Oryzias latipes: one gene and its partners. The protein of the gene in region 1 interacts with the protein of each later gene in a biochemical or structural test. Links are inferred from orthologs where the notes say so. Each region holds a gene or a part of one and is shown on either strand. Other genes may lie near its edges.

Evidence for each region.
Region 2: the proteins of ptpn11 (region 1) and frs2 interact in a test that uses a peptide from one of them, tested with the Homo sapiens proteins (2 studies listed by BioGRID, with this or other methods). The link is inferred for Oryzias latipes from reciprocal best matches to the Homo sapiens genes PTPN11 and FRS2.
Region 3: the proteins of ptpn11 (region 1) and txnip are reported together in a solved structure, tested with the Homo sapiens proteins (2 studies listed by BioGRID, with this or other methods). The link is inferred for Oryzias latipes from reciprocal best matches to the Homo sapiens genes PTPN11 and TXNIP.
Region 4: the proteins of ptpn11 (region 1) and caveolin-1 form a complex in vitro, tested with the Homo sapiens proteins (2 studies listed by BioGRID). The link is inferred for Oryzias latipes from reciprocal best matches to the Homo sapiens genes PTPN11 and CAV1.

Annotation. Positions count from the first base shown.
Region 1 is NC_019870.2:1,410,053-1,417,288, reverse strand, and holds part of ptpn11 (tyrosine-protein phosphatase non-receptor type 11), read left to right. Parts: intron 1-1,230; coding exon 1,231-1,350; intron 1,351-1,872; coding exon 1,873-1,986; intron 1,987-3,794; coding exon 3,795-3,891; intron 3,892-3,967; coding exon 3,968-4,047; intron 4,048-4,128; coding exon 4,129-4,287; intron 4,288-6,413; coding exon 6,414-6,545; intron 6,546-6,617; coding exon 6,618-6,772; intron 6,773-6,844; coding exon 6,845-6,912; intron 6,913-7,236. UniProt on the Homo sapiens protein: Acts downstream of various receptor and cytoplasmic protein tyrosine kinases to participate in the signal transduction from the cell surface to the nucleus. Positively regulates MAPK signal transduction pathway. Dephosphorylates GAB1, ARHGAP35 and EGFR.
Region 2 is NC_019864.2:4,364,065-4,371,812, reverse strand, and holds the start of frs2 (fibroblast growth factor receptor substrate 2), read left to right. Parts: upstream 1-2,969; 5' UTR 2,970-4,069; intron 4,070-6,523; 5' UTR 6,524-6,591; intron 6,592-6,662; 5' UTR 6,663-6,688; coding exon 6,689-6,754; intron 6,755-7,102; coding exon 7,103-7,289; intron 7,290-7,397; coding exon of another isoform or gene 7,398-7,431; intron 7,432-7,748. Other genes in the region: receptor-type tyrosine-protein phosphatase beta, read left to right, coding at 372-470. UniProt on the Homo sapiens protein: Adapter protein that links activated FGR and NGF receptors to downstream signaling pathways.
Region 3 is NC_019869.2:21,666,286-21,674,208, forward strand, and holds txnip (thioredoxin-interacting protein), read left to right. Parts: upstream 1-3,956; 5' UTR 3,957-4,074; coding exon 4,075-4,330; intron 4,331-4,726; coding exon 4,727-4,802; intron 4,803-4,880; coding exon 4,881-5,028; intron 5,029-5,111; coding exon 5,112-5,471; intron 5,472-5,567; coding exon 5,568-5,873; intron 5,874-5,957; coding exon 5,958-6,008; 3' UTR 6,009-6,815; downstream 6,816-7,923. UniProt on the Homo sapiens protein: May act as an oxidative stress mediator by inhibiting thioredoxin activity or by limiting its bioavailability.
Region 4 is NC_019864.2:2,995,521-3,003,301, forward strand, and holds the start of caveolin-1, read left to right. Parts: upstream 1-3,639; 5' UTR 3,640-3,867; coding exon 3,868-3,903; intron 3,904-4,602; coding exon 4,603-4,770; intron 4,771-7,781. UniProt on the Homo sapiens protein: May act as a scaffolding protein within caveolar membranes. Forms a stable heterooligomeric complex with CAV2 that targets to lipid rafts and drives caveolae formation. Mediates the recruitment of CAVIN proteins (CAVIN1/2/3/4) to the caveolae.

The DNA of each region.
Region 1 (7,236 bases):
AATTTCTACCACGGCGCTAGCGCTCATCATCATCGCCCCAGACGCTGCAGAATGTGACACCCGCCGGTGACGACACCCGCTGGTAGACGCAGCACGTGAACGAGCAGGAAGCCGTTGGTGTTATTAAAAACCCGGAGACGATGGCGTTGTGTGAAAAGTAGAAAGGCCCCTCAGAAGTTCAACGCCGTCCTCGCAGATGGTCGTAACCAAATCCAAGCAACAGTGGCGTGAAGCAGACCGCGCGACTGTGGATGCGAGTGGTGGGATGACTGATCGCTTTGAAGTGTCAATCGGCCTGAATGTGGGAGGGGCTACAGATGAAGCCATTTTTGGTTTTCCAGAGGAGCTGTGGATCCAACAATTCCACATGAGACGCTTAACGTTTGATCATCCGTGTGACGCTGTGGGACCTCTGGTGGCGCCCGCTGCGCAGCGCCCCCGCCCGCCAGTTCCTACCAAGAAGAGCATCGCCATCCGGTTGGTGGTCACGGACTCGTTTAATTAGGAGAAAATCTTTCCATTGCAGTTTTGGGAAACATTTGAAATGCCTCAAAAACCACTTTCTCCAAGCGCAAAAACCTTTTTGAGATAAGTGTGAGGTTTTTTTCTTGTTTCTTTTCGGCAAATTTGTTATCGCAAATCCAATTGCGCATTTTCAGAGGCAATGGAAACGCAGCTACTGCTGTGCTTTTTAAACGCTGCCGCTCGATGAACAAATGGAGGAGAAATGCAGGCCTGTAGGTGAAGCTGCAGTGACTTTTTTTTATTTGTAGCAGTCTGGGTGAATTCTGCTGGTGTCTGTAATAGCAAACTACTCCGTATCACATTAATAATCGTGGCGGCGGCCACATTTTCAGACCATTTTGCTCATAAACCAACCATCTTTTGCAGAAAACCTTATTTTCTGTTTTTTCATCCAAACTGAACTCCACTGGAGGATCACAACCGTCATTCTCCGTCTAAAGGATTCCCAGAGCTTGTTCGCTACTTTAAATTTTAAATCGTTCTGATCTAAAGCAGGAATATTTCTTTTTACCGTTTCGTTTCCCTCCAAAAGTCTCTTCATTCATTTGCTCTGGGTCTAAACATCTGCACGTGTTTATCTGCCTGTCAGCAAGCTGGACGGTTGCCATGGAGACCGGCCTCCATCCAGGCTGCCTTTAGGAAGGTGACATGCAGTCAGGCGGGTGTTGCTGCCGCGTGCACGTGTTCACTGTCACGCTCTTCCAGCACGACCTGAAGTACGACGTGGGCGGAGGGGAGAAGTTCGACTCCCTCACGGACCTGGTGGAGCACTACAAGAAGAACCCCATGGTGGAAACGCTGGGCACCGTGCTGCAGCTCAAACAGGTCTGGGAGTCTCACGCCGCCCCCCCCGAGGGGTTTCCGTGGAAACAATAGAATAAACAGCTGGATTGGTTCCACGTGAGAGAAGCTTGGGTTTATGTCTGCGTTAATGCAGAGTGTTTGTCCTTTTCCTGCCTCCGTTTGTTTAAAGAAAAACATTCAAATTCAACAAAAAAAACCTATAAACTTTAGAAAGTAGATGTATTTACATTTAAATGGATGGAAAGAAGGCATTCCTGCACACCTTCCCTGTGGCGGGACATTTGGTTTGCATGTTAACACCGTGTGTCGACATGGATCAGAGGATTCTTTCCTGTCGTTGACACTCGTCTGAAGAAACCAGCCAATTATCTTTCAAATAAATATATAAAAGTCTGTAAACACCAAGTTTCTGTTCACCGTTTGCATGAAACATGTCTATAATCTCTTCCTGTCTGTTCCGTAATGTCTTCATGTTCTAATGTGGCGCCGTCTTGACCTTCAGGAGCGACCTTTGCACTAAATGTTTTCTGCTGTGGTCTGCAGCCGCTCAACACGACGCGCATCAACGCAGCGGAGATCGAAAGCCGCGTCCGTGAGCTCAGCAAGCTGGCCGAGGCCACGGACAAGGTGAAGCAGGGCTTCTGGGAGGAGTTTGAGGTGAGTGGTCTGAGAAAGAGGAGCAACCTGCTTTTACTCTGAAGGCACAGGGAGCGTGCTTTTACTCTGAAATCCCACCGTAACCTCAGCGGCGGCAGCAGCACGTTTAACGGTCAGAATCATGAAGGATCTTTCTGATGTGCTTGATGAGTGTTTGTACTGGAACTCAAAAGACATTCCTCCAACGTTTAGGCTGAATCTGAATTCATCCCCTACCCCGACATTTATCCCTCCAAGACGGTTATGGAAAATCCGGACATGACTACCACTCCATGACATCATCAACGGTCGCCGGTCTCCCCCGCTGGCGTGTAGCTGCCATAATACAGTGGTTTATAACTTTAAAACGTTGTCATGGAAGCCAATACTTACATTTAGTCATGAACCTCTGTGCTTCAGAGCACACCCGCCTAAAGAAAAGCCTTTTTCCTGGCGTGCCAGCGAGACGCGGACCCCCCCCACCGGCAGAGGAATACCCAGCCGTGGGTCACTGCGGCTCCTCCTCAAAGAAACACTTTCAGACACCCCTACAGCTCCAAACGTCCCTGCAATGTCAGCAGTCTGGGGAGCCAGAGGGGAAGTCCTCATCATGTCAGAAGACTTTTATTTTGAAAGCAGATGGAGCCGGTTTCCTGTGTTTTTTTCCAGAAGTTCAGCTTCAATCACCTGAAGAAGAAGAAGTGTAGTTTTGGCTTTAGGGGCAGCAGTCTTTGTGTTATTCTAACAGATCAATAACCATGAGGAGTGATTGCTGTGCAGAAATGTCACTTCATCATTTTCTGAATTTACTTTTAAAAAAAACAAAGTATTTGGGAAAAAACTACACTCAAAAAAGGGATTCAAACCCTCTTTCATGTAACAACACAAGTAAATGCCGTTTGTTTTATTTAAATATATTTATTTTAAAAATATGTATCTATATTTAATTGACCTAACATAAAATGTATTAATAGTTTCACCTATAAACTCCAGTATTGAATAAATAAATTCATAATTAGGGGGCATGCTGTGCACATGTGCAGACTGCACCTTCTGCAAAATCATTTCTTCTGTGATTCTATTCTTTAATTGGTTGGATGCTGTTTTCCTCTTTCTCTTTATTTATTCTTCTTATAGTATCTTCCGCCGTTTTACGGCTACAATTTTTCACCTATTTTAACCATTCAACTATTAAAACGTTCAGCTCTTTCGTCTAATGCCTGCCATGACTTTTGGTCCTTCAAATCCTTTGAACTTTTGTTCGTGTTTTTCCACGTAAAAAAGGTACTGTGGCTTGGAATGGATTCAACTGGGTTTCTCCCAGTAAGATCAAAGACGACAAACCTCATTTATGTAGAAAATGATTCTGTCTTTATAGTGTTGGATGCCTGAGGCCACAGGAGAGTCGGCTCAGTGGATCAGTCTGTCTGCATGTGGAGGTTCTACCTTCCAGAATAGTGTCACACCATGTTTTTTGCTTTGTCTTCTTGATAAAATTGAGTTCGACTAACTCGATTATATTTCATTACATGGAGGAATTTTTTTGATTTGGTGCGACTCATATTTATTGGATGGAAATCCTGCCCACAATTAAATTGAGTTCATCCAATTTTTTTGAGTGTATAGACGTGTACAGATATTTGGAATAACGTCCTCAATAAACTACAGTTGTTGAAAAAGCGGCTATGATGAATAAAATAGAATAATAGAATTTGTGTTTACATGAACGTGCAGCTTCACGTTTGTGTCGGCGTTTTCTGCCAAACGCCGCTAAAGCTGTGTCCAGAAGCAGATCTGAACCTGGAGTTTCCTCTTTTCTCTGCATGCAGACGTTGCAGCAGCAGGAGTGTAAACTGCTGTACAGCCGCAAAGAGGGACAGAGGGCGGAGAACAAGAACAAGAACCGCTACAAGAACATCCTGCCCTGTGAGAGCCCCCGGCGCCGCCGCCACTCCAGGCCGCTCGACCCCGCCCTCTTCTCATCTGCCGTTTGTGTTTGCAGTCGACCACACGCGGGTGGTGCTGAACGACGGGGACCCCAACGAGCCCGGCTCGGACTACATCAACGCCAACATCATCATGGTGAGCCTCCCTCTCGCCGTCCGGCTCTGCGGGTCCGTTTGCGCTCGGGTTTGTGCAGCTTCTGGTTCTGCCGGTTTGCAGCCGGAGCTGGACGCCAAGTGCAACAGCCACAAGCTGAAGAAGAGCTACATCGCCACTCAGGGCTGCCTGCAGAACACCATCAGTGACTTCTGGAGGATGGTGTTTCAGGAGAACTCGCGGGTCATCGTCATGACAACCAAAGAGGTGGAACGAGGAAAGGTGAGGGCCGCCGACAAGTCTTCCATACATTTATCGCTTCTTTTTAGCAAAATCTTTTGGAGGCTTTCAGCTTTTTTTGACCAATGTGATCTGACCGTTTTCCTTTCTTCCCCTTTGAATTCCTTTGTGGAATATATCAATATATATAAGTATAATATCTATATAAAACTGAGCATATACAGTACATTCACAGCTTCTCATTCAGTGTGTCCAAACTTTTGGTCTGTACCGTAAATATGCTTTTTTCATTCTAAAAACTCCTTTTTGTATTAAACTTCTTTCTAATCATTGAAGGGTTTTAGATAATCTGAGTTTGTTTGACTGAATCCAAACAAATGTCTGACTCCAGGGGCCTGTTTCAGAAAGGAGGTTAAGTGTAAACTCTGAGTGCGTTAACCCTGAAATCAGGGAAACCCTGGGTTTTCCGTTTCAGAATGGGAGGTTTGTTAAACCAGAGAAAGCAGAGTAAGTCAAACCCGTTTCTGAAAGAGAGGTAACTTTTACTCGGAGTCAGTATCCATGGTTACTTATGCTGTGAACCTAACCTGGTCGGGAGCAGGTTTTATTCTCTAAACTCAAGGTTTCTGCCGGTCCCCTCCCCTTTTTAAAGACGAAGCGGTATTTTTCGCTTTAACCTTCATTGTCCACATGTCCGTCACACAGAGACGGTCTAAGTGACAAGAATGGCTTGTTCTTTTTTGGAGGACCCAATAGACGAGGAGGCTGCATTAATTCATAGAGAATTACATTTACCTCGTACGAGGATTTTGAGAAGACTCGATTTTTTTTTCATTTTTAGCTGCTGCCATGTTCTTTTAATTCCTGCAGGATTGCATCTACATGAAAATGAAATCAGGGACATTGAATTAGATTAATGTAACAATTACTTTTTGGAAACACAATTTGCTAGCACTGCTTACTTTCTTAATCCCATATAAACCTATACCACTTGATCAATACAAGGGTAGTGTTGCAGTGTGTGTGTGCTGAGCGGGGTGCGATCCACGAGAGACAAGGGGAGGGGCGAGTGCAGGTGCAGATGGGGGGGGGGGGGGGTGAGCACGGAGCGGAGCGGAGGTGTGTGCGTGGTATATATTGTGTGTTCGGAGGACGGAGCACTTAGTTAAATAAAGAGAAGGTGTCATTCCCAGAATAACTGTTTTGGAGTCATTCTTAATCCGCTCTGGAGGTTGAGGGTTTCCAACGGGAAGTGAACCCCGAAGGAGAATTCCCTTCAGCCCTGAAGGAAATCTCCCCTGCGCTTCTGACCACGGTCGGTCGGAAAGACGAGAGAAAAGAAAATAGAAGTCTTCGCGCAGCGAAAGGTTCAACAGTAGACAAAAGTTCACTTTTAAAAACACACAAAAAAAAAAATTGCATGTATTAATATTAAACTGACCAACGTTTGCAAGAGGGGAAGGTTAACAAAAAAGTCCTCTAAACATTACCGACGTTAAATGCATCCCCCCCCCCCAGATTGGTTCTGTACACTATGCAGCATTTCATGCATTTACACCAGGAATAACACTTCAAAAGTAAACCTAAATATCGCCATTTTTTATTTCACTCCTTACGCTATTTAGAAAGTTATTACAGCCAATATTTTATAACAATGATTTAAATGCAAACTTAGGCATTAACTTGAGCAGCTATGTTTCCCACGCTAACTGTCTCTGTTTTGCAGATGCAGCGGTGTTGCTTTTCTTCTGGAATATGTGCTCATATTCACTGTAACTCTGCAGCAGCACGTCAAGTTCAGCTGGAGAAAAATACGCAAACCTCTTTTTTTCACGGTTGCCATGGTGACTCATGATATCTGCGCTCCATTGATAATGGCTTCTTATAGTCGCGGTGCGCACGCTTAACTCTGAATCAGTCCACTCAGAGGTGATTGACCTAACTCCGATCAGCTTCTCTGAAACAGAAAACTCAGAGTTGTTAATCTCCCGATTGACCAACTCAGAGTTCAAGTTTATCCTCAGAGTTGGTCGAACCTCCTTTCTGAAACAGGCCCCAGGACTGTTTCCTCTCTAATCTGCCTCAATCTGGGTTTGTCTGACGTCCCTCTGCTTCTCTTCCTCGCCGCTCAGAAGCGAGCAGAGAGAATAACTGTGTGTCTCTGACAGAGTAAGTGTGTGAAGTACTGGCCCGACATGTCGGCGCTGAAAGAGTACGGCGCCATGCGGGTCCGCAACGTGAGGGAGACGTCCGCGCACGACTACATCCTTCGAGAGCTCAAACTCTCCAAAGTGGGGCAGGTGAGCGGCTCGGACGGAATTCGCCGCCACCGTCTTCCCAGAAACCCTCATCGGGATTGACGCTTTTTTCAGGGAAACACGGAACGCACGGTGTGGCAGTACCACTTCAGGGCCTGGCCGGACCACGGGGTCCCCACCGACCCGGGCGGAGTCCTGGACTTCCTAGAGGAGGTCAACCTGAAGCAGGAGAGCATCGCGGACGCCGGGCCCATCGTGGTCCACTGCAGGTAACGGCAGCGGCGGCGCCGGACGGCCGACGCACGGCAGCAGCCGCTCAGCCGCTCTGCTTCTGTCCTCAGCGCGGGGATCGGTCGGACCGGAACCTTCATCGTCATCGACATCCTGATAGACGTGATCCGAGAAAAAGGTGAGTCCTGCAGATCCTCCAGAACCCGGACCGGGCTGAAGAACGTTCTGCACGTCTGCAGTAAAACAGTAAAACCAACCAGCACAGGCTGGACTCTGCTCTACTCTACTCTACTCTGCTCTGCTCTGCTCTGCTCTGCTCTGCCCTGCTCTACTCTACTCTACTCTACTCTACTCTACTCTGCTCTACTGTACTCTACTCTACTCTACTCTGCTCTACTTTACTCTACTGTACTGTACTCTATTTTACTCTACTCTGCTCTGCTTTGCTCTACTTTACTCTACTGTACTGTACTCTATTTTACTCTACTCTACTCTGCTCTGC
Region 2 (7,748 bases), on another chromosome or scaffold:
TTGTTAATTTCTTGGATCATATCTCAACTTATCTCAGGACTCATGTGAATGCTCATGTCAGGATTCTTACCATGGTTTATATAAGGACCCACATCAGGGTTTCTGTCAGCGCTTAAACTATGGTTGATCTCCGTGGTCTTGTCAGGATGTATGATTAGGCTCATGTCAGTCTTTGTCAGAGCTTATCTTTGGGTCCATGTTTTTTCTCACATTAGCTTTCATGTCAGCAGGAAAAGAAGCAATACTATATTTATCAGAGAACCTTCCAGTCCTTGTCCAACTAATTTGTCTCTTACATGTACCATTAGGAGGAGGGGCTCTGTGTCAGTAACAGCCATGCCTAACGTGCTGCTCTGCCCCCCTCCCCCCAGGGTCAGTACTCTTACCTTCATCACTGTGTTCGAGATGTCCTGAGAGCCCGGAAGCTGCGCAATGAGCAGGACTGCCTCCATACCCCCCTGAGAATATAAATCCAGAGGTGAGTCAGCCAGTCACCACACTGCAGTTCCCGTTTGACCATCACCTCAGCTGACAAGCATACATTATTATGTCCCACAGATGGTGAGGCAGCCCACCTGCTGAGACGCTGCAGAGAAAAACCTTCATATTTTTATTTTCATATGCACACATGTTCATGTGTTTTTGTCTGCACTAAACCTTTCACTTATTTATGTTCCCTGTGAAAAAGTGGCAATGCGTTACTTTCCTGTGTGACTGCACTCACTTCAGTCAGCATAAAGTACTTTCTTTCAGCACTGTCCTGTGTAGGTGTGTGTATTCGTGTGGGTGTGTGGGTGTGTGAGGGTGCGCACTTCGGTGTGATTGTAATACAAACAATAGTGTCTGAAGCTCAATAAATACACAGCACGTGAACAGATGCTTGACCATTTTAATTATTCATTTGGAATAAGTCAAGATAACTGCAGCAACACAAAACTGCAGAAGAATCCAAAACTATAGCAACACAGTGAAAAAGTAAGCAATAGAAATCAACACCAAAACATACACAAAATTGCATTAACACAAAACTATAGCAACACAAGCATGAAACTTCAGCAACAAAATCATAAAACTGCAACAGCACAATCACAAAACTGTAACAAAACAAATCAATAGCAAGACAAACACAAAACTAAAGCAGCACAATCATAAGCTACAACAACACAAACAAAACTGAGTATAACAATTATAAAACTATAATAGCACATGAAACTGCCACAAAACAGATCAATAGCAAGAAAAACACAAAACTAAAGCAGCACAACCATAAGCTACAACACAAAAACAAAAGTACAGGGGGGTATTCCAGAAAGCAGGTTATGCTAGTTACCACGGTAAGTTTGAGGCTAAGGAAGTTGATAACCTCAGCTTTCGGCCCCAAAAATGGAGGTATGTTTCAGGGTATGTCAAGTTCCCATAGCAACTCATGCTCTGAACATAACCTGGTCTGGAGCAGGTTTAGTTGAAGGTTAGTTTGTTTTCAGAGAGGTGAAGCAGCATGGCGTGTCCATTTGAAGATGATTTAGTGGATGAAGAAGCTCAGATAATACTTTTTCCACCATGAAAGGGTGATAAGACCACATATAGATGTTGGAAAATTAAACTTTTTACTTTGATCTAACTTAATTATTTGCTTCAGTTAAGATAAATCATTTTTTTAGTTAAGTCATCTTAAAAATAACGTGTAGTTTTCGGACATTTATTTTACTTTCATTCAAATTAATTCAATTAAGTAGGTGGACCTTGGTGCTGCTGTTAGATCAGCACTGCAGGGGATTGTGGGATACCATTCCTTTTGCCTGTCTGGACGGATTTTGGTTTAAGTGTGGGTTTTTGACCAAATGTGTTTAGTTGTTTAGCTGTTTTACTGTGTTTTACCGAGTTATTTTTCCTGTTATGTTTAATTCTTTCTGTACCATGAGTGAGAGGGAGGAAGAGGAGGATGATGAGTTTATTTTGCACCCCTAGTGCTGCTTTAAGACACAGAAACTGTGAAAAGTATATATATATATATATATATATATATATATTAACTTTTTTTTTTGCTGATGATGCAGTCACATTACTTTTTTGATGGTCGCATAATCTTCATACGCCGTCATTAAAATCTCTGACTGCGTGTCACTGAAGTATAGCGCTCTCTTTTTTTCTCCACACGTTTCCATGGTGACTCCGGAAATCTGCGATCCATTGAGAATGTCTTTATGTAGTGGCTGTGCACGTGCATTAACCCAGGGTTACCAAGTGGAGCGTAATTAATCTTTTGGAACCGACATACCCAGAGTAAAGGCCCGTACACACCGGGACGAATATTCACCAGGCATTAATCGCCAGCGTTTTTCAACACGTCTTTTGTGTTCACACCCAGGCGATTTTCGCTGACGATGAGCCGAGCGAACATGCAATTTCATTCCCTGACATTAGATGGCGCTTAATGTAAACAGAAATACTCCTGTACACAAGGTGGCGCTGCGCAACTTTATGCTTCTTAAAGTCGCTTTTCACTCAGAAGAAGAGAGCAAGTATTTACACGCTTGTCAGAATCATTCAAAGAAAACATGAATATTTCAAGCACCAGTTGCTCCAACTGGTGCTTGGTTCGGGGATATTTTAGAATGTCCGTCATTATTTCTTCGCGGCTGTGTAGATGCAACTCTGCGTCTATCTTCTTCGCTGGTAGGTGTGCTCAGCAAGGCAGTTTTGTGTTTGAGCGCCCCCAAGTTGTGTTTTACTGTCACTTCAGAAGCTCCAGACACGTGTGCAGAAGCGGCATTCTCATTGGTCGAATAGATTTCGACGCGACGCGTCAAAAAAAAAAACGAACCCGAGGCGTTTTTTAAAAAGTGACGCTTTGACGCGTGGCATTTTTTCGCATCGGTGTGCACACTCACATTGGTGCCCTTTGTTTAGTCACGAGGCGTTAAACGTCTGCGAATATCGCGGGCGAAATTCGTCCCGGTGTGTACGGGCCTTTAAGCAAGTTCAGGCGGATTTCAGCCAAAGTTCAGGGTTAAAGTCAGGGTAAATAGTGACTTCTGGAATGCCCCCCAGGAAGTCAATCATAAAACTACACCAACAGCTTCACAAAACTGCACAAACACTAATCACTAAAGAAGCACAATCATAAAACTACAGCAAGCCTACAACAACAGAAAACTGCAACAACACAATAATGACTCAACAAAAACACAGAACTGCAACAACACACAACTTTAAATAATGTAACAGTATTGTAATATTCTACAAAGTGGTAGAAAACACAAACAGAAAAACAAAACGCACAGAAGGCACAACAAAAACAATGCAAAAACAACACAGCATCACTGAAATCGGACATTACATTAACATGACGTTGCTGCAACAATCTTTAAAAATGTGTCTCTACTAAAGCTAAAGAAGAGCAGACGTCAGCAGTGGACCTTCTACAAGACCACAACGCCCAAAGGTAAGTGAAGGATTGTTCCTGAATATTGTCCTGTTCTCACTGTTACTGTAATTCAACACGAGTCTGTGTTGTTGTGTTTCTCTCTAGGTTATTTTCCCCCTAACCCAAACGGAATTGTTTGGATGTTAATAGTGATTGTGTTATTCTGTCAGGATTTTGTTGTGCTTTCGTTTGTGCGGCTGGCTCTGAGGCCCCCACATTCCCGGAGCTCTTGGACGGCGCATGCGCCGTGGCGCCGTTGCTGTATCGGAAGTTAGGCTCGCAGTGATTTAGCTCATGAGACGGCTAGCATTTTAGGTTTTGCCCGGGCGCTTAAAACCACATTTTAGTCCCATAAAAGTACATTTTGACGGAGGGAGGGTGCCCACAGTGAAACGCCGTGGACTGCCCATGGACTGGGGGTGTTCTAGGCACTGCGGCTCGTGGGGACGGACGCGTTAGACGCGTGTGAAAGAAGTTGTGATTGTTTTTTGGCGCTCCGGAGGAACATGGAGGATTTTCTGCTGTAGCAGCGGCTAACGCTAGCTGCCTGCCGTCACCACCCAACAGAAACGAGCTGCTCGTCCGCTTGCTGAAAGCCCCCCCAAATCTTGATGCTGGACGTCACCGCGCTTACGGAACCAGGTAAGTTCTGCCGGGTGAGTCGACAACTTTGTTGCCGCGGGGGAGCCCTGGGGGGCTAATGAGCTGAAATCTGAGTTAGCTTATTGAAGCAGCACGGAGGAGCTTAGCTCGCTGCTAATTAGCTGCTCTGGACCCGCATCTATCTGCCACTCAAAGACCAGTTGGAGCAGCTGACCAATCTCTACACACGAACCAGCAGCAGATGGTTCTGGCTCGGGTCTTGGATAGGGGAGGATAGGGGATTGGGGTTGGGAGGCGCGGACACAGGCTTCACGGTTTGTTTGGATGCGCTGACTAAATTCTGGAGTAAGCCCCAGGAAGCGGAGGACTTCACGGACACACGGCACGCACACGCCTACGCGTGTCACGGCTAAAGTATTCAGTCTGACAGTCAGAATCTGAGGCCGTCGGACTCGGAGTTTAGTTTTTGTAGCTGTCAGACCCCCTCCAGGTCTTCGGAAACCGGCTGAAGTAGTTTGACAGACGATCAGACCAACCTGATCACACAGTGTGGCTGGATTGATCACTAGGGCTGGAATGATTGGTCTACTTCATCGATGAATCCATATATGCCTCTAGGATCCAACCAGATTGATCTGTTAGAGGCAAGTTTTTAATCGAATTAAATCGTCCCCCAATTCTTATAGAATCGTTTAAAAAAGAATTCCATCAATATAATGTAAAATCCATCAAGTGCATCACAGCGGACAACATGCATGTGATAAACTGATCAGTCCATCATTCCAGTCCAATGTGTGGACAGACTTTGAATAAAGTCATGTGACCATCCAGTGTCTAGAATGTTCTAAGAATGTTCCCTTTGGATTCTTTGGATGTGGAAAAACAACAGTGGTGAACTTTAGGAAACTAACATGTGAATGGATTTGACATTCATTCTAGTTTACTTGTTTGTTTGGACACAGATTTCATTGTTTCAATCTGGAAAACCTCACCTTCACTGTTCTGTACCAGGAATTTCTCTGAGTCTCACTGGTTGAAGTTTTGGATTAAGATGATCTGGATCCACTTTAGGTCAAAGAATCTGATCGATCAAGATGAATCATATCAGCAACTACAAATTATGATATGAATTGAATCGCTGAAATGAATCCTTACACCCCTAGTGATAACTGCTGAAGAGGGTCCAAACCTTTTAATCAGGCAAACGGAGCACTTGTTTAACCCCCCACCACACACGCACACACACACATACACACACACTCACACACACAGGCCCGAAGGGTGGTCACCTGAGCAGGTCCTCCCTACCTGAAGAACATTTTGTCGAACCGCCACCTCACTATCAACATTCAGAGAGGATGGAGATTGAAGTCTTTGGGAGCTTGATCTGAATCACACGATGCTGCTTTCCTAGTCAGACACATTTTCTCCAGCTTTAGGTTAAAACGTAGCTCGGACTCAGTTCTTGCTCGCTTTGGAGAAAATAATCTATGGTTAAAAGTACCAACCCAGCTGCTGTCTGCTCCCAGTGCATAGATGTGTGCTGGACCACTGCTGCAGAAGTTGAAAATGTAATTTTGAGGGGGTACACTGTGTATCTGCATCCCTCACACACATGTATGTTATACCTGTACATACATGCCTCAAGTCGTTCCACTTCCTGCCTGGGTTGATTAGGGTGGGACTCAAACATACAAACATGAGAGGAGCCGTGCGGCATCTGTTTATTCACCAGAAGCAAATGTAATATTTTCTTTATTTGGAAGTGAGTCTGTTAGTTAAACTATGAGGTTAGTTTCGTCATACAGCGCCACTTCACACTTGTCTAAAAGACATGCACTAAAAGCAAGAAACATTAAATTGTACTGAACTGTGATTGTTACTATCGCTATTGATCAGGGATGCTAAAATTCTCAATGCTGTAACCGTACTTTACACCATTGAACCCAAACGTTGAGAAAGTGAATCGCGGCATCCCTACTGCATACCTGTATGTTTGCTTTGAAAGCGTCAAACCCACGTGTAAGAAGCAGTTATTATTTTAGGACATGACACCAGGCTTTGGTTTTCTGCATTTTTACTCGCTTTTTAGCTAATAAAAAAGGTTTCCTGTTTTTTTCCTTTTTGTTGTTTTGTAAAAAAAAAAAAAAAAAAAAAAAGCAATCATGTATCGAACTGAAACACATCACCGGAACCCCAAAATGGAGGTTTTAATGGAGTTGTGGTGAAAGTGAACTGTTATATCCTACTACTGATCATTCCATTAAGACCATTCCAGCCTTAGTGAGCAACAGATGACACCATTTAATGCAATCCCTTACTGAACAGGTGGATTTAGCCTTTTTTATTGCAATGAGGATTTAATCATTTTTTTGACTTAAAAAGCAAATGGAAATTCCAGCAGCTCAGAAGTATGCAGACGTAATCCCTGTGAAGTTTGACTCTGTAGTTCTCTTACAGCACAGCTCTGACTTGTCTGTCATTGTTTTGAAGGAGCTCTGAAGCATGCGAGTCCCTCAGGCTCTCAGGATGGAGGCACAGCTTTCGGAGGCAGCATTTAGGTGAGTCCACACCTGTACAGGGCCAGCATGGCTCCTGTGCCTGTTCTTCACTGCTGCTGGTTTTCTTCCAGATGTCACATGGTGCTCTGAAGAAGCCATGGGTGGCTGCTTAAGCTGTCCAGAGAAAGAGTCTATTCCAGATAATCATCAGAGTAAATTCAAGGTGAGCATTTCCTTCCTGCTCATGTCTTTTCCCTGACTGAACTGTTGTGGAGTCCGCTCTTATTAGTTAGCAGTCAGGGTAGGGGTGTGGCTTATGTCAGTGTTCTAGTTTTTCTGCAGACATGTTTGTGCATTATCCAGCTGTGATGTCACAGAACCAAAGAAGGACCTCTGAACTCCTGAGACATTCAATGTTGGATGCTCATGTTTCTGGGCACCTTTGTAAGGTGGTTTTGTGTTGCAGCAGCCAGACACAATGATGAGCTTAAACTTGCTCTGAGTTTGGTCATGTGACACACATAAAGTGAAGGGGCATCCCTGACTGCTGTAAATGTGCGTCCTTTGTCAGGTGATCAACGTAGACGATGATGGGAACGAGCTGGGATCAGGCGTGATGGAGCTGACCGACGCTGAGCTCGTCCTCCACACCCATCGGCGTGATGACGTAAGGTGGCCTTACCTGTGCCTTCGCCGATACGGCTATGACTCCAACCTGTTCTCCTTCGAGAGCGGACGTCGTTGCCAGACTGGCCAAGGTATGCACATGTCTTTGACCTACAGCTGCAGGCGTGTCCTCCGTCAGCTGCAGAATGTTGACCCGTGACATGTTACAGTCTCAATATGTCTCTCAATCATGCTGTCAGGACCCTGGTGTCCTCTGGGGGCTTGGTGGGTGTGGTAAGTCTTGCTGTGGTCAGGTGACCCATGTTGAGTGTGTGTTACGGTTCTTCAGATCAGCCGATGTGTTGTTTTCGTGTGTGTGTGTGCGCGTGCGTGCTGAGGTGCTCCTCCTAAACTCTTGAGTCTTTGGGTCCTCAGACTATGGACTGTATACGAGAACTATGACCCCTCCCCCCTGGCGTTGCAAGCAGGAAGTACCAGCTGGTTCCAAGAAGCCATAGACTTCTATAGAGAAATAAACAGCTGTTAGTCATTCTATTGATCAGAAGAACCATTCTTGATCTAATACGTTTTTTAACATCTTCTCGATAATC
Region 3 (7,923 bases), on another chromosome or scaffold:
GAGCATGGTATGAAAACTAGAATCAAGCCTTTTGTGTGTTAAAACAAACAGCTGTGGTCTGTCAGGTTCAACCAGGGTGGGGCTGCTAATGTTGCTCAATCAATAATCAAGTGGAAAACACATCAGAGCTTCCATTCACTAAGCCACAGGATTTAGCTTCAGATCTTGCATGTTTCAGGGGTATAAATACCAGATAAGAGCTTTGATAGAGAGCTGAGAGCTCCATGATCCACTACTGACCAGGACTTCCTCACAGCACCAGGTGCAGAGTAAATATATTTTGGGTGCCAGCACACTGATGGGGTATTTTAAATAACAGATTGGAAGTGGCGTCAAGGTCGATTCCATCAAGCAAAACAAAGGAAACCATCTTATTTTCTTCTAATGAACATTTGTGGAGTTCTACATTCTCTCATGGTTTTTTTTTTATGTGTGTCAAAGCGTATAAATACACAGAACTGCGACAAAACCCAAAGAAACTCTGCCTCTGCCTTGTCTGGAAAATGAAAACATATTACGTAAGGAGGTCACGTGACCAAGGAAGTGGCTGTTGTCTGTTGTCACTCTAGTAACTTGAGAACACTCTGTAACTGTGGTTGGGAGTTTGAAATGTGGAACAAAAGGTTCTCGCTGCCCTCGGCACGTCTGTCTGCAGGAAGACAAAAAAAGTGCACGGCGGCTGGAAGACCCAGGAAGCAACATGTGCACAACGTGTGTCACTTGAAGCAAAAAGAAAAAGAAAAAGTTTCTGGTGTGCAATAAAACAAAAACAAAACGACGCTCTTTGACTCTAGAAATGGAACGGGTTTCATGGAAATGTGTCATTTGTTTTTTATAGACTGCAATGTTATCTGGCTACCAACTCAACTGAGGTTGTTTTCCTGTGAAAGCAGCTCATTGTTTTTTTAGCGTGACCTTCAAGAGGCTGAAGCTTCATAACAACCCCTCTGACCAAAGTTTTATATTGAAATTCTGTGATCGTGCAAGGATTTGAGTCAGTCCTAAATTATTATGGAGGTGGTTGAAGGCTGGTGATCATGAAGAACGTAGAGACCTCTGCACACTGTGTACCCTCGCTTCCCTTGAGTTGTTTATGCTGTAAACGTGCCCCCCCACCCCCACACATTTTTCGTGGTCTTTCTTTCACTTTTCCTTTGCCTACCATTACACTTTCTTTACTGCTTATCAGGTCTTGTCCATCCTTCCAGCATCATAGCAGCTGCATATTGCCCTGCATTTACAAAAAAAAAGCTCAGAAGTGACAGGTTGAACTTCTGCACTTCTACTACATAAAGAACCACAGAGGGCCTGATTGCTGAGTTCCTGGTGTTTCCTCTCTCAATGCAGAGCTTGTTCATCGTGATGTGGTGTGATAAGATTTTGAAACTGATTGGACTGACTTGTTTTTCTTCTTGACGTGGTTCGTCAAATCGCACGTAGACATTCCTTGGTCTGTCACAGCTTTGGGAATCTCGGAACTCATTTCATTCATTTGTATGTCAGTCTGCACTCAGCAGCTTCATTGCTGTGAATTTATGCTTTGAGATGTAGACTGGAGGTCAGTCTGCAATGAAATCTCACACCAAAGTTGTTCATGGCATGTTGGATGAAAGTGTTTGTCCCACAGTAGAAAAAATCTGTGTAGCATGGAAAGGTTTTCCTTTCAAATGTATTTTTTTCATTACATGAATAAAAAAAAGCAAATTAGATATATTAGAGACAGAAAAAAATATTTAAAGTTACAATAAACCCAAGTTAGTCTGAAGAAGAGCTGTATTTTTCCAATCATTGGGGTAATGCAGCATTTTAAGACGTTCCAGACATCTTTTATCCTGAAAGGAAATCAGTGAGGCATCAACTTGATCACTTTAATCAGTTAATATGTTTCAGGTATAAAAATGAGGAAAGAACTGAGTTTCCTGACCTAAACAAATCTTTGGAAACCTTATTATTACAGATAATTGTGTTACTTCTTTTTTAACCCTTGTTTTTAACCCTTAGATGACTCCACCCTTACTTTGATGTGTTATTCCTACCATGACAAATGTGGATAAAGGTGGAAAGATTTCATGTAATCCATGGACACCAGTGAGGTTCACAAATCATTGAAGAAAAAAGGTTCAGCACACTGTCTAGTGGGTCTAGATGACCCAACTCCCAATGGTAAAGTGCGTAGGATAGCACCAGGGTTACAGTACGAAATGATCCCTTCTACAAAATTGATTTCCATCACTGTGTCTGTGAACAAAAATATTTTTAGATCCCACTTCTGAAGAGATGCGATACCCAGAAAAGTCAACCATTCAGAAGACATGTGGCGTCAGTTGGGGCATCTTGTTACAGACGTGGGGATACTTGAGAGAGGAGCCACAACGATCAGTTTACATTACACTTGAGCCTTCTGAGACAATTAAAAGGTTCTTGCTTTTTACAGAAATATATTTGATGGTTGTGAAACAACACAGAGAAAAAAGTTGCAAAATGTTTTTTATTCATTTTTCTTTTAAAATTTAGACCAAATTTGATCTTCTTCCAATAATATCTGCGGTGGCGGCGTGGTGCAGAGGAAGAGCAGCTGATCTGAAGATTGTAGGTTCGTTTCCATCCGGCCCACATGTGTGGAAGTGTCCTTGGGCAAGACGCTGATCCCCACACTGCTCCTGGTGGTTACAGGTTGGCGCCATTGTGTGTGCATGGGTGAATGTGAATAAAGCACTATGGGCCTTAAGGGAAGGTAGAAAAGCACTATATAAGTATTTACCAGGAATGCAAAGATTCACTTTCTCCATGACTTGGTTCAATTTTTGGGTCACGTTTTTGTTTCCATTTCATATTTATTTTGAGTATTACAAAACAACAATAAAGCTAAAAAATATCTGAAAATCCCTCTTTTAAATTAGCTAATTAGCAAGAAAGAATGAAGAAAAATCTTTCAGTTGGCTTATACCAAAAACCATAAATACCATAAATAACACATCCTTCTAAAAGATAATGGCATGCTGTAGGGAAGCAAAGATGGCCGGAAAAGGGTCTGGCAGCTCCGTGACCCTGAAGTGGATTTTAGAAGAGGAATGAATGAATGAATGAATGAATGAATGAATGAATGAATGAATGAATGAATGAATGTGGCATCCCTACCAATTACTGAGGACTCTAGAAGTATCAAGAATCACTGTAATGTTAACTTCATGAATTGTTTACAGTGAAACTCTGGCGTTTATTTTGTAAGCAATATTTGACCTAACATGCGTGACGTTAAAAGGATAAAATGTTAACATTATATAAGTTGAAAAAATGTCACCCTAAATTAACCTCAAATACTTTTATTTTACATTTTGATGTCTTTTTGTATTGTTGGAATTGTCTTTTTGAACAATAGGGAAAAAAATACAAGCGAAAAAAAATACAAGCAGACAGTATAAAAACCCACAACAAAAAAATCTATATCACTTTTAAAAAGTGTAGCCTACACTGTGGCCCTTCAGCAGCAAACAGACATTTTAAAGTATTTAATGCTTTGGGAAAATATTAATGAGTTGATCCTCACAATTGTTTTATGGATCTGTCTGTTCATAAGACAATAAACGTCGTGTAAACTTGACCATTAACTGCTTGATATAGTGTTTTCAGGTTTTTCTTTATCTGTTATCATCCAGTTTCAGCATATCAGGACACAAAATTAACTGTAAACTGATTTTATATCATAGCACTGATAATATTCATTTGTAACGCAGCTGAATAACTGACCTAAGAGGGAAACGCCTGTACTTCCCAGGTTTCTGGTGTTTACTATAAACGCTGAGTTTTCGTCTCTCATCTCCTGAGCACGCGCTGCACTCTCGTATGCATGCGCTGTCCACGCGCTGACTCTGCGCTCTGATTGGCTAAAGCCGAGACAAACCTAGAGTTTCCGCCAATAGGAGCGCTGTGCATGCGCTGAGCCACACCGCGGAGGCGGTTCATCACGCGGGGCTCACGGAAAGAAAGAAAAATACAGCCGCCTCTGTTGTTTACAGCCTCAGACGACGAAAGCTTCAGTCGCACGAGCAAGCATTGTTCACAGCCTCAGCAGCCATGGTAGCCATGACGAAGAGACTGAAAACTTTTCAGATAGTCTTATCGGACCCGAGCAAGACTTTTTACTGCGGCGGGGAGAAGGTGTGCGGCCGCGTGGAGGTGGAGGTGAACGAGTTGACGCGGGTGTCTGCGGTGAAAGTCGTGGCTCTGGGCTGTGCCAAGGTGGAGTACGCTAAGGGGAAGCAGCGATGCCGACAGGAGGCCGAGTACCTGAGGCACGAGGAGGTCCTGAGCCTGCACGACCAGCCCAAAGGTAAGCCTCGTGCGCACTGGAACTGTTGGAAGTGCTGGAATTATTTTTGTCCTAGCTAAATAACACAATTACACGTTAAAAATATTAAGTAGTTAAATTATTTTTTCTTCCACTTTATAAATCTAAAGCTGTTTTTGTGGTTAAAGTGAGCTGCTTCTTTTTTTTTTAACTCTAGTCTATTTTAAAGTGAGTTTAATAAATTTGGATTCATGGGTGAAATATGACGCAGTGAGAATTTACAGGGGTTCATCAGTGAGGCAGGAATCAGAAACATCCGTGCTTGAACTTTGTCCCAGTTGGCTCTGTTTACATCATGTCCCACCTTCATTTTCATTTCCCACAGAGTTGCCCCCCCCCCCCCCCCCCTTACTCATGGTTTTTCTCCCCCCTCCCCAGATGCAGATGGCTCTGTCGTGCTGAGGCCTGGGAATAAATATGAGTACACTTTTGGATTCGACCTCCCCGACCAAGGGTAAGCCCCCTTTTTTTTAGTTCCTCATTCAGTCATGAAATGATTTGTGGTTCTAATCCTGTTTGTGTTTGCTCATAGGCAGCTGGTATCCTCTTACAAGGGGAAGTTTGGCTATGTTCAGTACTATGTGAAGGCTAAATTGGAGAGGCCGCTGCAGCCCACGCTTGAGTGCAAGAAATGCTTCGAGGTGGAGGAACCTCTGGATGTCAACACCCCAGATTTACTTGTGAGTAATCAGAACATCCATGGGTGTAGATGTTGGGATTCGCCGCCGTGCTAACCTTCTTTTTACCTCTTTTTGCTCTTCAGTCTCCCACAGGTGGCTCCAAGGAAAAGAAAGTAACCTGCATGTTCATTCCCGACGGCCAAGTGTCACTAAACGCCAAAATCGACAGGCGTGGTTTCTGTGAAGGCGAGGACATCTGCATCAACGCCAAGTTCGAGAACACCTGCTCACGCATCGTGGTTCCCAAAGCTGCCATCATTGCCAAACACACATATCAGGCCAACGGCCGCACCAAGGTCTTCAGGCAGAAGCTGTCATCAGTGCGTGGAAACCACATCATCTCTGGCATGTGTGACGCCTGGCAGGGGAAGACCATCAGGGTACCAAAGATCAAGCCATCCATGCTGAGCTGTAACATCATCCGTGTGGAGTATGCACTAATGGTGAGCCACCGATGGTGAAGTGTGCATGCCTGCGGAGCACCTGTGGCTCCTCCTGAGATAAACACGTGTTGATGGTCTGTTGTTTTCTTCTTCCAGATTTACGTCCACATTCCCGGCAGTGAGAAAGTGATCCTGGAGCTGCCTCTGGTCATCGGGACAGCCGGTCTCGGCAGCCGCAGCAACAGTGTGAGCAGCCAGGAGGGCTCCGTAAGCAACGCCTCCCAGAGCTGGGTGTCCCTGCAGATGCCCTCCAATCCCCCCAGCTACTCTGACATGACGCGGGACGTTCGGCTCGACCAGCCCCTCACGCCGCTGCTGTGTGACTGCGACGACATAGATGGCAGCCCCATTTTCATGAGGTCGCCCAGCTTCCAGTTCCCATCACCGCCTGTGTTTGCCGAGGTAAGGCGATCAACAGGGTTCTGCGCATTTCTGGCAGCTGCTGGGACGGTTCTGAAAGTTCTGGTTTTGCTTCGTGTTTTGCAGACCGAAGAAGAGTACAACGGAAACAACGTTTGCATGCTGCCAGTCTGCTGAATGCTGCAGCTGCGGGTCCAGTTCTCCAAGACCAATCATTGAATGCACTTCAACAAGAAGCTGGAGGTCCAAACTGGAGAGAACCTGCGATGATGATGTTTCTGCATATGCCTGTGCTTCATCCAGAGTTTCCCCCTGGTGTTCGGTTGGTCCTGAAGGTCTCCGTCTGCTGTTCCTCCCGTCTAAAGGCTCCATGGAGTAACCGGAGTCCGTTGGTGTTGCTGCTTCCTGTCGAACACTTTTTTTTTTTTACTCTTTGAGAAGGAGCCGTGTGTGAGTCAGGCTGTGACTCCTGGCTGGTTTGTTCATTCCAGTTATATCCAGTTTCTTCCAAAGAGGAGCTGTGGCTCTCAGCAGGCTCATCAGTTTGTTGGGAACAAACGTTTAGGATGATAAAGGAGCCTCCTTATTTCCACAGAGCATTATCTCAGCATGTTGTGTATGACTCCTTTTTCTTTTTTTTTTTGAATCGCACTTTTTAAAGTTATGCTCTGTTACTGCAAACAAACGTTTTTGGCTGTGTGTTACAAATGTAAAAAAATGTTTTTTTAATTTAAAAAGAAAAAAAGAGAAATCCCAAATTTGATTATATTCTGACTTTAATTCTTTTCAGCAGGTGTGATGCTGAAGCACCTTACAGAACTGCTGTATCTGTTCTGCAGTTGTCTCAGACAACATTTCAGTCAAATCTGCCCTCTTTCTTCACTTTAAAAGTTTGAAAAGTGTTTTAAGACTGAGTTGTAAGAAAGTATTTTTGTATGAACCCCATGGGTCAAATTTTATATAATAAACGCTTGAAAAGAAAAACCTGTCGATTGTTTCATCCATTAAACATGAACCCAACCTGATCTGGATGTCCCTGAAAACGGCATTGCAAAAGACAGAAAATTCCTTTTTTGCTGATAATAAAATCAAAAACCTCCCTTTTTAATTTGAAATGTTTCATTTTTTTTTAGTATTACCAATTATTACTTGACTTGGTTGTTTTGTGCTTCTTGTTTATGAAACTGCATTCTGGAGAGCAATGAAACTCAACCCAGACGCCCTTATCTCTAGCTCATAGTTGTGAAAAGACGTCAGCATGACGGAGCACAGAACAGCCCTCTGGCTGCACACCAGTCCACTTAATCACAGCTGGAACCTTAGCCAACTATTTCCTTCAAACACCTTATTTTTCTAGTTTACCTTTATTCTACATAGATTCCTTTACCCTTGTGCTATCTTAGATGACCCCATCCTTACATTGAAGGGTTCTCCCTACCATGATAAAGGTGGAAAGATTTCATGTAATCCATGGACACCAGTGAAGATCACAAATCATTGAAGAAAAAAGGTTCAGAGCACTGTCTAGTGGGTCTAGATGACCCAACTCCCAATGTTACAGTGCCTAGGATAGCACAAGGGTTACATTCAACTTTTGATATATTTTTTAATATTGTCTTGGGATATAGCCCATGGTAATACGTATTGCCAGACTCTTGCCAAAACACAGGCCAAGGAACAATTGACAATTTTGAACATCATACCTTCAACTGTCAGCTTCAGCTTCATCACCCTCTCTTACAGTCTTCTTATTCAGAAGATTCTTAGCAAACTTGTAGAATCCCTGGATGTCCACCCCTCTACTTTCCACCAAAGTTTAACTTGTCAAAGTTCCTCCTTTGCCTTTCCTCTCTTTGCCTACAAACATGTCCCGCTCCTCTCCTCTTCTGACCAATAGTTCTCCAATTTCCACCAACAACTTTAGAGGATGCTTCAAGAACCAGCATACTGCTGGGTCTTCAAAAACCCAGCCCCACCTGCTGCTGATTACATGGCAGATTGGCTGGAAACATGTAGGATACTGACCCTTGAGAACTGGAGTTGGACATGTGAGCTGGAGCTCATTAAACCAGCCCACGACTGAACCGGTGAG
Region 4 (7,781 bases), on another chromosome or scaffold:
GTTTTGCACTTAGGCTCAAAGGGTTGGAATGGGTTACCAACAAATGTTTCCTGAATGTGGTTGTATCTGCAGCTCACCCCCCTCGAAAGGATGGGAGAACAAATTTTACATCCCTAGGTCCGTGACAGCCAATGGGAATTTAACTTTACTTACAGAAATTATCGTTTTTTACTATCATCCGGAAGGATTCTGAAAACATGTCAAAATAAAAAAGGCCCTTTAAAAGAGGAGCTCCGCCACGTTTTTCTGGATGTTTCTTGGATTGTCAAAGCTTTCACTAGGAGCACATGAGGTGAGATGGTTGAAGAACCCGTCCTGTCAGTTTCTGAATGACATTTTAATATCTCTGAAGATCCTGAGAGCCTGAACGTTCCCACAGATCAAATTTGTCACCATGCCACAACTCCCTTTCTGCAGTTGTACCCCCCCGAGGAATTTGTTTTTAAATTGTAGAATGTCTTGTGTTTATCGCAGAACTGCTGAGGTCTACATAAAGTATGATTAATCTTTCTATGAAACAGGTTTTATGATCTGTGTTCATAACTTCACCTATTAAAGTCCAGACATGAAGTAAACCGGTGTGTAATGTATATTTTACAATGATTTTCACTGTTTCTAGACAAAAATCAAAAATCCTGTGTTGTTTTCCAGGACATAGTTTCTATGGAAGCGATTCTGTAGCATAATTAAAAATAAAAGTCAAAACCAGAAATACTTTTTCATTTTCAAAATAAAGCTGCATTTTTTGACTCAAAATTAAAATGAAAACGCAATCCGCCAAAATGTTTTTTTCATTTTCTTCTTTAACACCGCTTATTCTGTCACTTACCTGTAATTAAAATGACGTGGTATTTGACATTTCATTTTCAAAAAGTTATCTGTTGTAGCAAAATTCATTTAGAATTGTCTAATTTGACAATTAAAATGGGTTTAATAGAAATGCTTTTTCATTTTCAAAATGTAACTGAAACAAAAGACTCAAAATTAAAATGAAAATTTAATACTTCAAAATACTTTTTCATTTTCTACTTAAAACCGCTTATTCTGTGTCATAATTAAAATGAAAATGCAAAGAGGGGATTGCATTTTCATTTTAACATCCACCCTGTGAATAGTGTCGCAATATTCATTTCGAATAAGCATTTCCAGTGGGGAGGCGGGGCGATGACGTCAGTGTGTTCTCTGTGTGTGCGGCTGCTAACAGACACATGCTAGGAGCAGTGGAGCTTTGTGTTAGCGGCAGAGGAGAGGGCTGTGTGATGGTTGTGAACTCCTGATGATTGTAGACAGCTTCTCAGGACTACGTAGCAGCATTTCCCTGCACCCCCCCCCTCGGACCAGCAGCTGCCTTCGCATAGCGGAGCGCGAAACCCCGCTATCCGATCTCCCGTTCACCGAAGGCAGAAGTGCTGATATGATCTGAGAAACCATCATATGAATATGTGTTTCCAGTGGTGTCCAGAAAAAAATAAAGGATGATGTAATTCCCACATATTTACATCCAATATGCTCATTGCCCGCAAGGAGTTTTAAGTACCTCCACGGCTAATGTTTAAAGCACATATTAGCCTAATGCTAACTCGTCTTTCGGGTCCTCCAGCGAAGAAAAAAGCACTGACCGAACGGATTTAAAAAAATTGAGTGAGCAGGCCCTTAATAATAATCATAACAATAAAAGCACATTTAGAAGATAGATGGTTGGACCAACACACACTCAGCGTGAAGCTGAGTGTGTGTTGGTCCAACCAGCAAACGTTTAGCATGGTGAAATCTGCTATAGCTGTTGATGGGACTCCAGCTGTCATTGAACAGCAAAATCAGCGTGAAGCTGCAGGAGACTATCTTCTAAATGAGCTCCACTGCTCCTAGCATGTGTCTGTTAGCAGCCGGACACACGGATTTAGCACTGATGTCATCGCCCCGTCTCCCCTCTGGAAATGCTCTTTCGAAATGAATAATGCGACAATGTTTGCAGGGTGGATGCTAAAATGAAAATGCAATCCCCTCTTTGCATTTTCGTTTTTATTCTGACACAGAATAAGTTGTGTTGAAGATGGAAAGAAAAAACATTTTGGTGGATTGCTTTTTTATTTTCATTTTGAGTCAAAAATGCAGCTTCATTTTGAAAATGAAAAAGCATTTCTGGTTCTGACTTTTATTTTTAATTATTCTACAGAATCACTTCCATAAGTTTCTACAGAGCGGCATAAGTTCATTAAAAATTCAACTCTGAGCTGTGGGCTGGACTGTTGGTGTGGCGCATTTCTGCCTAATTTCCCGTCATCCATCCATGACACCCCCGACCTAACATCATCGATGCAACAAAAATGGTGAGCAATACTGGAGCTATCCATTCATACAGTTTAGATCCAGACTCCAGCTCAGACCAGGAAAACAAAGACGTACGTCTACAGGCTCAAAGGGTTGGAATGGGTACAATTGGATGCATCAGAATGGAGCAGAGCATGTTTGTGGCCCGCCCAACGTATTTTCTATGTAACAAATATGCTCTTTTTTTAAACTGCAATTTTTATTCTGTGTCCCTTATTCACAGTTATTTGAATTAAGAAATACTCAGTGATGCAATTTCAATATTAGTTTTATTTGTCCTCCATCATCAGAAAAATGCCACAAAACAACACCAAAAAATACACTGTTTATTGGAGTTGGTCTCTAAGTTCCACTCCATAGTGAGACTGTAGCATTGTTACAGGTATCAGGGCAAATTAACCCTTGTGCTATCTTAGATGACCCCACCCTTACATTGACCTGTTCTCCCTACCATGACAAAGGTGGATAAAGGTGGAAAGATTTCATGTAATCCATGGACACCAGTGAAGATCACAAATCATTGAAGAAAAAAGGTTCAGAGCACTGTCTAGTGGGTCTAGATGACCCAAATCCCAATGGTAACGTACCTAGGATAGCACATTAAAGGAGTAGACCTGCTGCGGCTGTTACCCTCATGGGCACTGACAGTAGAGTTTAGGGGTGGAGCAAAGGAATCCCAGTCACACAGAACAACCCAGCAGTAAGGCCCCAAGCCAAATTCTGCCACAGGTATCAATAATTATGCAGATATCAGTCTGCTTACAGAAGATAACATATTTTTTTAGAAACAGAAAAGATCATCTTAAAGGTACACTACAGCTACTTGTAATGAAATAAGTGCTCCGCATTTCACCCTGACTAATTATTGTGCACAAGAAGCCTATCAAAAAAGGGTAACACGTAGAAGAAAAAGACCATTCCATAAAATCCATACATTGCTTCTGTTCCACTGATGAGTGAGCTGCTGCCAAGAAGAGGTGAGAGGAAACTATCAGGGATGCCGGGTGCTTTACTTGAAGCTGACAAGAAAAGGAAAAGCATTGACACCTGCTCTCAAATGTTATTACTAATTCTGCATTTTCCCCCTCTTGATCTGTTTGCTTGTTTGTTTTCTTTTCTCTTGGAACAATCGATCGGTTTGGGACTCAGGTATGGCAGGTTTTCCCACTTCGACATTCAGTAATCCCATCTCACCCTCCTCCCTCTGAACAAGTGCCGTCTTATTCTGCCTTCATTCCTGAACGAAGCAGGGTTTTTTCCGTGCGTGTCACAGCAGCCCTTTGGTGTGAGATCACGTCCTTCTCTGCAGCCCAAGCGGCTGTTGTGCCGAGCGCGCACACGCAGGTGGCTGTGCAGACGCAGCGGAGCTTTCCCCTGCGCGCTCAGACTTTCCGCAGTTTTGTCTCACTCGGCGCCAAGGCAGCTCAGGGTTGATTTCATCATCAGGCGCGCGGTAGTCCGCGCTCACGCCTCCCACTTCGCTTCCCAGAGTGATCTGTGTTTGGACGGAGGACCCCATTTGCTCCTGAGGACAGAATGACAGGGGAGCGCACTGACGGAGACGCTGACGAGGTACAGTATGGCTCTCCCCTTTTAAATTAAATTATTTCCCCTTTTTGATATTTGCTTGTTGTTGTTTTATTCTGTTAAACTAGTTATTCTAGTATTTTTAGTTTCCTGCTGTGGCAAGCGCTGCGCTTTAGGAAAAAGCCAATTAACGCAACCAAATCCTGAGCTTTACGCGTCAGATTGCTCTGCTTCATCCAGGAAGAGACTTTAAAAGCGTTTAAAAGTTGGATTTTCAACCTCATTTTTCCACAAATGATCAAAATCATAAAAGCTTTGAGAGGATTCACTTTTACAACATATACTTGCATGTATGAATATTCATATTTTACAAATGTCACCTCTGGTAAAAAAAAAAAAAAAAAAAAAAAAAGATTAGTAGATGATATTCTGCTTGGATGGTGAGATGAAACACTGTTGCTTTTTCACAGAAAATGTTTTGAAGCGTTGCCATGCGTCCACATCCATGTGGAGCCAACTGTATGATAGGTCAGGACAGGAGCACTGTGTGGGTGGTGAGGACCCCTTGCGGCTGAGTGCAGGGGTGTGGTGCTGCGTGTTCAGTGCGCTTAAACCCATCCCTGTTCTCGAGGCAGGCCGGTGACTTGCACTGCAGTCTCGCTCCCTCTCGGCGCGCTGCGCACCACTCCGCCTCCACCACCTCCTCCTCTTCCTCACTTGTTTGCCTCCCTCGGATCTCCACAGGAGTTTCTGCAGTCGCCCTTCATCCGAAAGCAGGGGAACATATACAAGCCAAACAACAAAGACATGGACAACGACAGCGTAAACGAGAAGACGATGGATGATGTCCACACCAAAGAGATAGATCTAGTCAACCGGGACCCTAAACAAATAAACGACGACGTTGTCAAGGTGAGTCAGACCTGCTAATTTCGAACTTTTCAAGTTACTTTTAAAGTTGCAGCTGCAGAATCTTTCAAGACTTTTTGTGACAACAAAAAATAACAGTTGAGAGACTCCTGTGTCACAGACATTTCGGCCACTTTTTGCTTTTAAAGTCCAAGAATGTGATCAAAAACTGTCCAAGTGTTAAAATCTGGTTTGGTGTTTTCTGCGCCTGTGCGTCATCGTGCGCTCCCGGGGCTCAGACGCTGCTGCGCGCTGCCTCTCCAGAGCGGCCTCTTACTTTCTTTCCCCCTATTAGGAAGGAACTTTGCAGATGGAGTTGTGCTTTGCGCAGGCTGCACAGCCCATCTGCACGCACGGATTAAAAACGTGACCATCGGAACAAAGGAAACAGTACGAATTTCCTGTTTTTGGGACTCACGTTTCCCACAGTGGTTGCCTTGAAACCCTGAATTCTTTCCATAAGGGACATGCGCACAGAGGTTATGAGAGGGAGAGCTGGAAGCCACCTGAGGCGCTATGATACTGGAGGGGAGCGTCAGCTGTCTGTCACTCTCCACTCCAGCTGAGGCGGGCTTTCACATCAGAGCGGGGTCAAACAGCCCCCTGCATGAGAAGGATGGGTCAGGCCTCTGAAATGCCTGAACTGCGCTGTTAAAACAGGGAAACACCCAAGTAGCTGCTTAGTCAGAGGGGGATCCCTCACCACTCCCAGTGTTCTGATCTCCCCCCTTTCACCTGTCAGCATTCCAGCCAGAGGATTTAAATCTGAAGACATGTATGAATCGCTAAACCAACCGCCAAACTCATAAACAGTTCTTCCTCTCATGTTATTTCTGGAATTCCTCCACAAAATGATTCGATTTTATCAGATTCAGCTGATATTTCACTCCACGGGAACATTATCTGCAGTGTAACGTACAAATGTTGCCCCTTGGAAACACCCAGTCACTAGCATGAGACAAAGTGGGCACTAAATGCAGAAGTGAGTGAATTCAATAATGACCAACACATCCTTTCTTATTACACTGCACAGACTTGGCAAAGCGCTTAAGATTTCCTGTTTCTGTCTCTTCTTCACCGCTCTGCATCCTCCTGCTCTCAGTTGTGACGGTGAGTCAGACTCTCCCTGCGGTCAGGGCAGATTGAGGCTTTATGATCAAGTCAACTGACCGCCCTCAAAGTTAGTTTTCATCACATGGTCATGGACTGTAAACAAGAAACTTGTGTAATGAATTCCAGTTTCCATGATAACTTCTGAAAAGGTTTAAGCTATTCTTAAATCTGTGCTACGTTTAAGACCCACTCCATTGAAAATGGTGTTTTTGTTGTTTTTAACATGTTCTTGTGGTAATTTTCTGATGATGGAGGACTTATATAAAGAAAATGAAACTCAAAAACGCCATTTCTGAGTGTGTCTTTACTGAAATTGTTGTGATTCAGGAGCATAGAAAAAACTCTGAAAAAGATCGCATTGGTTGCATAGAAAATATGCTGGGTGTGCCACAAGCTCCCCGCTTTGCTCCATTCTGATGCATCCACTTGTAAACAGATCCATTAATGGTTTGTTTTTTCTGGTTTGAGCTGATATTTGGCTCAAAACTGCACGGCTGGATAGATGGCACAGATCAGAGTGGGTCTATAAGTAGAGCAGTCGTGTCTTTTCCGTTGATGGAAGCAGCTGGTTGGTATGAAAGAGCTAAATCCAGTCCGAACAGGGAATCCCTTCTGCGGTCATCCACTGTGTAATCAGCCACGCCGTCACACAGCTCCACACACATATGACAAGCAGCACACATCCTGAGTGCATGGATGCTTTGACTCATACATGTGAGAAAACCCACGGCTCTCTTGCAGCTGCAACCACAGCTGGCCTTAATCATCTGGCCACATGAAACAATGGATATTCCCTCTCAGAGCCTTTTTTATTCTTTCCCTTCCTTATGTTGTGGGCCTTTTTTATGTGCAGAGAGTGGAGGTCAAATGCCTGCACAGGACGTTTTTGAAGCTGCGTGGAGAAGCTTGAGTTCCAGCAGCAGACTCAGGTGTACCGAGGACAAACTAAAGAGGATGAACATCGTTTATTCATAGTGTTTGGTATAAACTTCACTTTTTAGCTTCAAACTTCCCTTTCCTTGGAGAATCATTCACATGGATGCCATTTAGTTTAACCCTTGTGCTATCCTAGGCACGTTAATATTGGGAGTTGGGTCATCATCTGGGGCGGCCGTGGTGCACAGTAGGGCGGTCGACCCATGAACATAAGATTGCAGGTTCGATTCCCGCCTTGCACGCCCATGTGTCGAAGTGTCCTTGGGCAAGACACTGAACCCCACCTTGCCTCTGGTGGGAGGTTGGTGCCAGTGTTTGGCAGCGGAGCCGCCATCAGTGGGTGAATGTGTGTGAATGTGTGTGTGCATGGGTGAATGGGACTGTGACTGTAAAGCGCTTTGGGCCTTCGTAAGAAGGTAGAAAGCGCTATATAAGTATACGCCATTTACCATTTACCATCTAGACCCACTAGACAGTGCTCTGAACCTTTTTTCTTCAATGATTTGTGATCTTCACTGGTGTCCATGGATTACATGAAATCTTTCCACCTTTATCCACCTTTGTCATGGTAGGGAGAACACGTCAATGTAAGGGGGGGGGTCATCTAAGATAGCACAAGGGATAAGAAAGGGGAGTGGACACATGAAAAAAAATCCAATTTTGCATATTGACCAATGTTTTCAATGCCGGTCATGTTAATTCGTATCTGTAACCAAACCGCAGACTCTCTTCCCCCGAAACTCCAGCAGAAGTCTGTTGATGCACCGCACTCTTCTGTCTTGTCAAGCATGTCTGACAGCCTGAAGATAAAACTCTGGAAATAGCACTTGGCCCTATTTACTCAATATTACGGTTGCTTTGCCAACTGGTCACATGTCGACCCCAAGACTGCATTGTTTCATATCAGGCCTCCCAATAGTCACCAGAGGTTCATACTGAGAATCAGCTGCTGATGGGATAAATGT